Linked DNA regions of Ovis aries. The protein of the gene in region 2 purifies or fractionates together with the protein of the main gene of each other region. This does not show direct contact. Links are inferred from orthologs where the notes say so. Each region holds a gene or a part of one and is shown on either strand. Other genes may lie near its edges.

Evidence for each region.
Region 1: the proteins of PIAS4 (region 2) and SMAD4 purify together in Homo sapiens (affinity purification with western blotting, with the first as the bait; 3 studies listed by BioGRID). This does not show direct contact. The link is inferred for Ovis aries from reciprocal best matches to the Homo sapiens genes PIAS4 and SMAD4.

Annotation. Positions count from the first base shown.
Region 1 is NC_056076.1:50,866,229-50,870,776, forward strand, and holds the start of SMAD4 (mothers against decapentaplegic homolog 4), read left to right. Parts: upstream 1-1,683; coding exon 1,684-1,932; intron 1,933-2,823; coding exon 2,824-2,998; intron 2,999-3,424; coding exon 3,425-3,454; intron 3,455-4,548. UniProt on the Homo sapiens protein: In muscle physiology, plays a central role in the balance between atrophy and hypertrophy. When recruited by MSTN, promotes atrophy response via phosphorylated SMAD2/4.
Region 2 is NC_056058.1:17,788,115-17,791,930, forward strand, and holds part of PIAS4 (E3 SUMO-protein ligase PIAS4), read right to left. Parts: intron 1,573-3,816; coding exon 1,488-1,572; intron 882-1,487; coding exon 840-881; intron 437-839; coding exon 346-436; intron 241-345; coding exon 112-240; intron 9-111; coding exon 1-8.

The DNA.
Region 1 (4,548 bases), on a different chromosome or scaffold from region 2:
TTAATTTCTTTTGAAAGGAATTTACCTTGTTGCCTTTATGGGTAAAATCTTCTGAGGAATTCAGTGGTGTCTCTTTTTTAATAATAACTTTATTGATGTGTTAATTCACATACTATAAAAGTCTCCCTTTTAAGGTGTATGATTTGATGGTTTTCCCTATAGTGACAGTTATGCAGCCATCACAAGTATCAATTTTAGAACATTTTCATTACCCCTGAAGGACTGGTGGCTCAGTGGTAAAGAATCTGCCTGCATTGTAGGAGACACCAGAGATGTGGGTTCGATCCCTGGGCTGGAAAGATCTCCTGGAGAAGGACATGGTTACTCACTCCAGTATTCTTGCTGGAGAATTCCATGGACAGAGGAGCCTGGCACTTTATATAGTTCATGGAGTTGAAAAGAGACAGGGCTTAGCAACTGATGCAAAGGAAATGCCATACCTATTAGCAATCATTCCTCACCCTCCCCTACCTAAACCTTTGGCAACCACTAATCCACTTTTTTTTTTTTTTTGGTGCTTTGCCTGTTCTGGATGTTTCATATAAACGGGGCTATATAGCAAGTGGCCTTCTGTGACTTTCACTTAGCGTGTTTTCCAGGTTCATCCATGTTGAAGCATGTACCAGTACTTCATTCTTATTGATGACTAGATAATATTACATTGTATATATTGATACATTCATCAGTTGATGGGAATTTGAGTTGTTTTGGCTATTAGGAATGATACTGCTGTGAACATTTATGTACATATTTTTGTGTGGGCATAGGTTTTTGGTAATTTTGGATGGAATTGCTGAGGGTATGATCCCTGGATTATATGGTAACTTTGTGTTTAACATTTTGAGGAATTGTCAGAGTCCTTTTCCAAGGTGGCTGTACCATTTTGCAATCCCATGTGCAGTGTATGAGGGTTCCATTTTCTCACGAATGCTTTTTGTCTGTTGTTTAGATTTATCCACCTGGTGAATGTTAAGTGGTATCTCTTTGTAGTTTTGATTTGCAGTTCAGTAATGATTAATGATTTTGAGTATCTTTCATGTCCTTATTGGCCATTCTTCTTTGGCAAAATGAGTATTAGAATCCTTTGCCCATTTAAAAATTATTCATCTTTTTATTGTTGTCGGTGATCTCTTATAACAAAGATGGCTATTGCTGATGGATAAACAGCATTTGGTGCCAGGTGATGGCGAATTTTTCATGTGTATTAGTGGTTGACTTTTAGCTTTAGTTACTTGTTAATCAAGAATATTTTAAAGTGCTGCTCTTCAGAAGTAATCCATTTTAAAGGTTCTGTTAAGATTTTACTTTAGGGTGGCTAGTACAGTCAACAAGACTTGATTGAACATGCCTCTATAATAATAAGGTCTAACTTTAATATTTTGGGAATGTCAAAAACGGCAACATTTTAATTAAATCATTTAAAACTCTAAGCACCACATTTAATTATGTGCATTGAGTCTTTGACTTAATTGAAGCAATTCCATCTTTTCCAAAGTAATTGAATCTGCTTTATGAAATGTGTTCTGATATCTGTCTCTCTCTGTTTTTTTTAGATTATCCTGAATACTACATGTCTAACAGTTTTTCTTGCAACGTTAACTGTTGTTTTTCGCTGCTTCCAAAAGATCAAAATTGCTCCAGAAATTGGAGACATATTTGATTTAAAAGAAATAACTTTAACAAATGGACAATATGTCTATTACGAATACACCAACAAGTAATGATGCCTGTCTGAGCATTGTACATAGTTTGATGTGCCATAGACAAGGTGGAGAGAGTGAAACATTTGCCAAAAGAGCAATTGAAAGTTTGGTTAAAAAGCTGAAGGAGAAAAAAGATGAATTGGATTCTTTAATAACAGCTATAACTACAAATGGAGCTCACCCTAGCAAGTGTGTTACCATACAGAGAACATTGGACGGAAGGCTTCAGGTTAGTCTTGTTCCAAGGTTTCTTCTGTACTTTGTAATGGCAGGTTTTTACAAATCCTTGTTTCCTCTTAAGTTACTATGGAAATTTCATGCTTGCTCCATCTCTTTAGATACTGTAGTACATCCTATAGTACAGATATTATCAATACAGGATCCTGTACTAATACACTATATGGAAATAAATGGAAGGATGTATCTTCTTTCAATAGAGGTATAGCTTAAAAGTTTTTAAAAATGTTTTGACTAAAAAAAATGTTCAGTATAGAAAATTTGGAAAATAAAAATCAGAAGAAAACCTACGTCTTTAGCCCTTTGGTATTCATCCTTGTAGCCTTTTTTTCTTTTTTGGTATTATATGTACAACTCAGCTTGCTTTCTTTCCTTTTTTTTTTTCTTATAATTTAGAAATTTGGTATTGTATGTCTGGTACTTTTATGTGAAAAACAATCCAGAAGAATTCAACAATATTTCTAAAACTTACGGAGTTAACTTAAATTTACAAGTCTTTACCTTTTGTTTCCAGGGATCAAATTTTTCATGTAGAATTACATAATCTCATGTGTTTGATATTTTTAAAGAAACATATAGAAAACATAATGTTAGGTTTAAAATTTTTTATTTCTAGATTTTAGGTATTGTTTCTTCATTAAACGCATACTTTTTTTGTGTATTTTTAAAACCTGAGCCTAAGCCTTGAAATCATACTTTAAGTTTACTACTTTGTGACCTTGTCCAATTAAGTTATTTTGCACTTTAGTTTTCTCGTTTAAGAAATAGGAATTTTAATACTGACTTTGTAGGATTGCAAGGATTAAATGAGAGTGTATCAAGTGCCTTGTATAATGTGTGATGCATAATTGATGCTCATTAAATGGTTATTTACTTTTCTTAGGTGGCTGGTCGGAAGGGATTTCCTCATGTGATCTATGCCCGTCTCTGGAGGTGGCCTGACCTTCACAAAAATGAACTAAAACATGTTAAATATTGTCAGTATGCATTTGACTTAAAATGTGATAGTGTCTGTGTGAATCCATATCACTATGAACGAGTTGTATCACCTGGAATTGGTAAGCAGGCTTCACTTCTATGCTTAGAAGCATAAAGGGGAAAGATATCAATAGTGTTTTAATTTTTCTAAGTTAGATTGTAAATTTGGAGATAGCCTAGGATTTCAACTAATTTTAAAACTCAGATATTTTTAATGAAATAACGTGTATTTAAATTTGAATTCTGAGAAAGCTTATATTTTGACTACTAAAACTAAGTGTACATACTTGATATTTTTCCTGTGTAGAACACTGTTATTGAAAAATAAGATGGAAAGCACTTTTGCATTGTTAGATAGCATTTATACTACTATTCTTGAATTGAAATGGTTCATGAAAATTTTGAATCTCTGGCTTAAATTTATATTCTGTAATTTTAAATATGGTGGAAATTATTTTCATTATAATGATTAATATTTTATTTTTTTTCCCCTTTAAAAATTTAAGATCTCTCAGGATTAACACTGCAGAGTAATGGTAGGTAATCCCTTTTCTTTTAACTTTCTCTCTTCTTTTATCCCATGCCCTTTATTTTTTATTGACTTAGAACTAGTCTGTATGGGTGGGTGCTGATAACATTTACAAGAAAAGTACTTACTGCTTTGAAAATGTACATTTTGCAGGGGTTGGGGGCATGCATCAGCATTTAAAACTGGATTTAGTAGGCTATTGACTCTTTGAATTTGAACTGCTATTTATGATTGCAAGTAGAATAAAAAATGTGATGGGGAACATAAAACATACACAGAAAGAGTAACTTTTGAATTGGTAAAAACTGGCTATTTTAGAAGTAAATCTCACAGAACCAGTTTCAGTAGTTATAAATAACCTGTTTGATAATTTAGAATCATGTGTAACATAGTTTAAAAACACCCAAATTCTCAGTTTTCTTTATTTCAGCCGAACTTATTTTTATGATTGATAATTTTGTGAATGACTTAAAACTGTATACTATATTAATTTTTTTTCAGTCTTGTTATATTTTGAGTAAATAAAACTAGGCTACTTTAAAGTATATGGTAATCACAGATGTTCTAGGCCTATTTTTAAAAGGAGAAAGTTTTGAGATAGGAAAATGAAACAAACAGGAGTGTGTTTTTTATTTTTCATGTAGTATTTGAGAACAGAGATCTGTTAAAACTTTAGCTCTGTTCCTTGGAACATGTTAATGAGCTAAAATTTCTGTAAGAACTAGTTACTTTGAACAGAAACTGATAAAAAGCCACTGTCACCTTAGAAGGCTTCCCTGATGGCTCAGATGGTAAAGAATCTGCCTGGAATGTGAGACCTGGGTTTGAACCCTGGGTCGGTCAGGAAGATCCTCTGGAGGAGGAAATGGCAAACCACTCCAGTGTTCTTGTCTGGAAAATGCCATGGACAGAGGAGCCTGGTGGGCTACAGTCTGGGGTCGCAAATAGTCAGACACCACTGAGAAACTAAACCAATACTATCACCTTAGAAAGGTGTGCCGTTGTTCTGAAGGGGAATTAGTGGTTCAGCAGCACTTTTGCTACAGAATCCTAGAAATGTGTCAGAAGTATCATCTGACCTTGAAATTTGGGAAGAGCATG
Region 2 (3,816 bases):
GAATAACTCTGGGGGCGGCGGGGCGGGAAAGGGCGGTTTAGTCAGGGCCGGGCTGCGGGGGCAGGCTGGGCAGAGGCGCTTGGGCAGAGGCAGGCGGGACCGGCCACTCACCTTGCCGTAGTTGCCCCAGGTGACAGTGATGCGGTTGGTGGCCGAGGACAGGTACATGAGGTGGGTGAGGTTGATGGGGCGGCACGGCCTCTTGGGCTCCACTCCAGGTTTGTTTGAGGGGTAGTAGCCCTGGGAGCAGACGCGCCAGCTGCGACCACCTCTAGGTGCTGTGCCCCCGCCCCTCAGCACTCGGCCCCACCCCACAGCAGACCCGGCTGCTGGGCATCCACTCACCGGCACCGAGCAGTAGCTGTGGTTGACCTTCACGGCGATGTTGGGTGGGTACTGGTCTTCCTGAGGGCTGCTGGTGTCTGAATAGCAGATTCTGCAAGGACAATGAGGACCATGGGGTCATGAGCACTGTGGGCAGGGGTGGGCCCGCTGGGAGAGGTGGGGAGGGCAGATGGGGGCCTAGGGGGAGATGACATGACCTGTGTCTGGTCTGGCCTGACAGGGGATCTCAATGCTAGACTGTACAGGTGTGGGGAGGTCCCCAGGGACCCAGTGTCTGGCCTGAGGTGGGGGTGGGGGTGGGCAGCGGCAGCATGCCGGCGCATCCAGGGACAAGGCCAGAGAGCAGAAAGGGAGGATCAGGTGGAGGCGGAGGCAGTCTGAGAGGATCCTGGAGTGGGGTGAGGCAGGGCTTCAGCCATCCAGGATGGTGGAGGGGAAGGTGGGCAAGGGTTGTGTCCCCACCCACCCCTGTGACCAGGCACACCTGGGCTTACCTTAGGACAACCTGCACGGCCTTGACCCCAGGCTGCAGTTCTCTGTGTGGGGAGCAGAGGAGGGTCAGTGAGAGGGCCTGTGCCCAGCAGCCAGTTTGAGCCTTAGTCAGGGACCAGCCAGGTGGACTAACCCGCGACCTCCCACGGCAACCAAAGGCCTCAGGGCACTGCCTAGAACATTCTCCCCCACCGTCTACTTGCTGGTGACTTGGGCAAATGATCTCTCTCTGGAGAATGGGGGCCAGTGTAGAGGGTAAGAGGGCTAGTGGGTGTGGGCCCTGTGCCTACCGGGCGGCTGCCCTGGTGGTCACTTGTCCCAGCTGGACACTGAAGGCCTCAAGGGGCAGAGTCAGAGCCTGGGACCAGCCTGCCTCCCTTGTCTGCTCACCCAGGGTGGTCCTGTCCCCAGGGGACACAGGTGGTCACCACTGGGGGCTCCTGGTCTTAAGGAGGTAGGGGCAGGATGTTGCCCCACACCCCACAGAGAACGACCCCATCCTGGATGTTGGGAGCAGTGAGGGGGACCTTGTGAAAGGGTGATGACTGGCCCACCTGGGGCCTGTGGGTCAAAGGTGCTGAGAGTGTGTGGTGGGGGCCACCCTTCCTGGTGAAGGCTTCCCGGGCTGCCTGGTGGCGGGCACAGCGCACCTGGAGTTCCGGATCAGCTCCACCTGTCTGGGGGTCAAGGCGAAGATGCAGGGGCTCTCCTGAAGCTTCTCATTATTCTGTGGAACTGACAACAAACGTGGGGTCAGGGTCAGGCCTGGGCCCTGGCAAGGGTGCCAACCACCATCATCCCTCTAGGCCTGACCCTGTTCAGACTGGGCCCACCCAGGTGGGATGGAGGCAGGGCCCACTGGGGATAGTGGGGGGTTGGATTCTGCCCCTTCCTAGGGCCATTCATCACAGCCTATGGTCCAGGGAACACTCACATCCCCCATGTCCCCCACTGAGGGCCTCTTGGGAAGCAGCAGGCTCTACAACCCCTCTGTTCAAGAGGGCTGAGAACTGGACTTTCCTGGTGGTCCAGTGATTGAGAATCCACCTGCCAATGCAGAGGCCCAGGTTCCATCCCTGGTCAGGGAACTGGATCCCACAGGCTGCAACCTAAGAGTTCACACACTAAAACTAAAGTTCCCACTTCACAACTAAGGCCTGGCATAGCCCAATAAATACATAAATAAATGTGTGTGTTTTTAATGAAATGGGTTTAGGAGGCAAAAAAAAATAAATAAATAAAAGAAAAGGATTTTAAAGTGAAAGCTGTATGCTTCCTCCACAAGAGGCTAGGAAAAAAAGCACAAACTAAAAGCCAAAGCCATTAGAAGGAAGGAAACTAAAGATAAAGATGAAAGTCGATGAACTAGAAAGCCAACAACAGAGAAAACCAACAAAGCCAAAGTTCTTTGATAAACACTGAGCTAGACTGAACAGTAAGACTGTGAGAATACCAACTGTCAGGAACGAGAGATGACAGCAGTAGAGACCCTAGGGCCTTTGACCAGGGTGGGCGGGGGGAGCAGGAGAGGGGGCTGTAACTTCACACCAATAAATTCAATAATGTAGAGGGTACGAACAAACTCTTCCAAACACACAGATTATCAAGACTAGCATCGAAACATACAGAAAGTATGACAAGCTTTTTATCAGTTTAAAAAAAAAAAATGAACTCGTGATTCCATCAGATGTTTAAGGAAGAAGTCATATGAACTACATATAAACTCTTCCAGGGAATTCCCTGGTGGCCTAGTGGTTATGATTCCAGGCTTTCATTACTGGGGCCGGGGTTCAATCCCTGGTTGGGGAACTGAGATTCCACAAGCCTCTCAGCACGGTCATAAATAAAACAGACAAACTCTTTCAGAAAGGAAAGGAGGAAGGACACTTCTTGACTCATTTTAATGAGGCCAACATAACCCTGCTTCCAAAACCTGACAGAACTGCATGAAGAAAGGAAAAACATAGCTGAGTATCTGTCATGAATGTGAAACATCTTTAACAAAACACGAGCAAACAGCCAGGCCTCTGGGATATGGCCCAGGAATGCAAGGTTGGTTTAAAAACCTCTACTCAGGGACCTTCCTGGTGGTCCACTGGTTGAGGATCTGCACTTCCACTGCGGGGGGTCAGGTCGGATCCCTGGTCAGGACACTAAGATCTGGCATGCCACTCAAGGCATGGCCAGTAAATACACAAACAGATGAAACCTACGAAACCTCTCCTTACAATGGCTAAAAATGACAAGGCCAGCCGTGCCAAGTGTTGCCAAGGATGTGGGGCAACCAGAACTCTCTGCTGAGGTAACAGCGAACATGGCTGTGACGTGAACAACCACCCTGGAAAACTGTTAGCCAATGGCTAATAGAATAAAACATATATCTGGCCCTGTGACCAGCAACCCACTGTTAAAGGTATTTCCCAAATAAGCAGAAGTCAGTCTACAAAAAGACTTGTGCAAGAATGCCTGGCTAATCTATTGCGTGTAGCTCTGAACTGGAAGCAACCCGCCTGACCAGCAATAGGAGAGCACGTGGACAAGCTGTGGTACCTTCATACGATAAAACCTGTAATCCAGTCACCGACATGAACGGACGTGAAGCCACACAGCTGAAACAAAGAAGGCAGATGCAGAGATGGCCATGCTCTGTGTGTTATGTCACCTTCCTGAAGAGGCAAAACTAATCCACGGTGACAGAACTCAGAACAGAGGCGGCCTCTGGGGGCAGTGGGGGGGGGGGGGCGACTCAGCAGGGATGGAAATGTTCTGTGTTTGGTGGCACTGATGTTACTCAGCACATGCCTCTGCTACAACTCAAATGACAAGCTAAGTATCTGTGGATTTCACTGTATGGAAACTGGATTTTAAAGTTAAAAAATTTAAAACTACCCTGAGGAGTGGTGATCATTCTGTGACCAATCAAAACCTGCAGTCACTTTACACCATAAGCTTGTATCAGGTTGCTGCATGTCAATCATT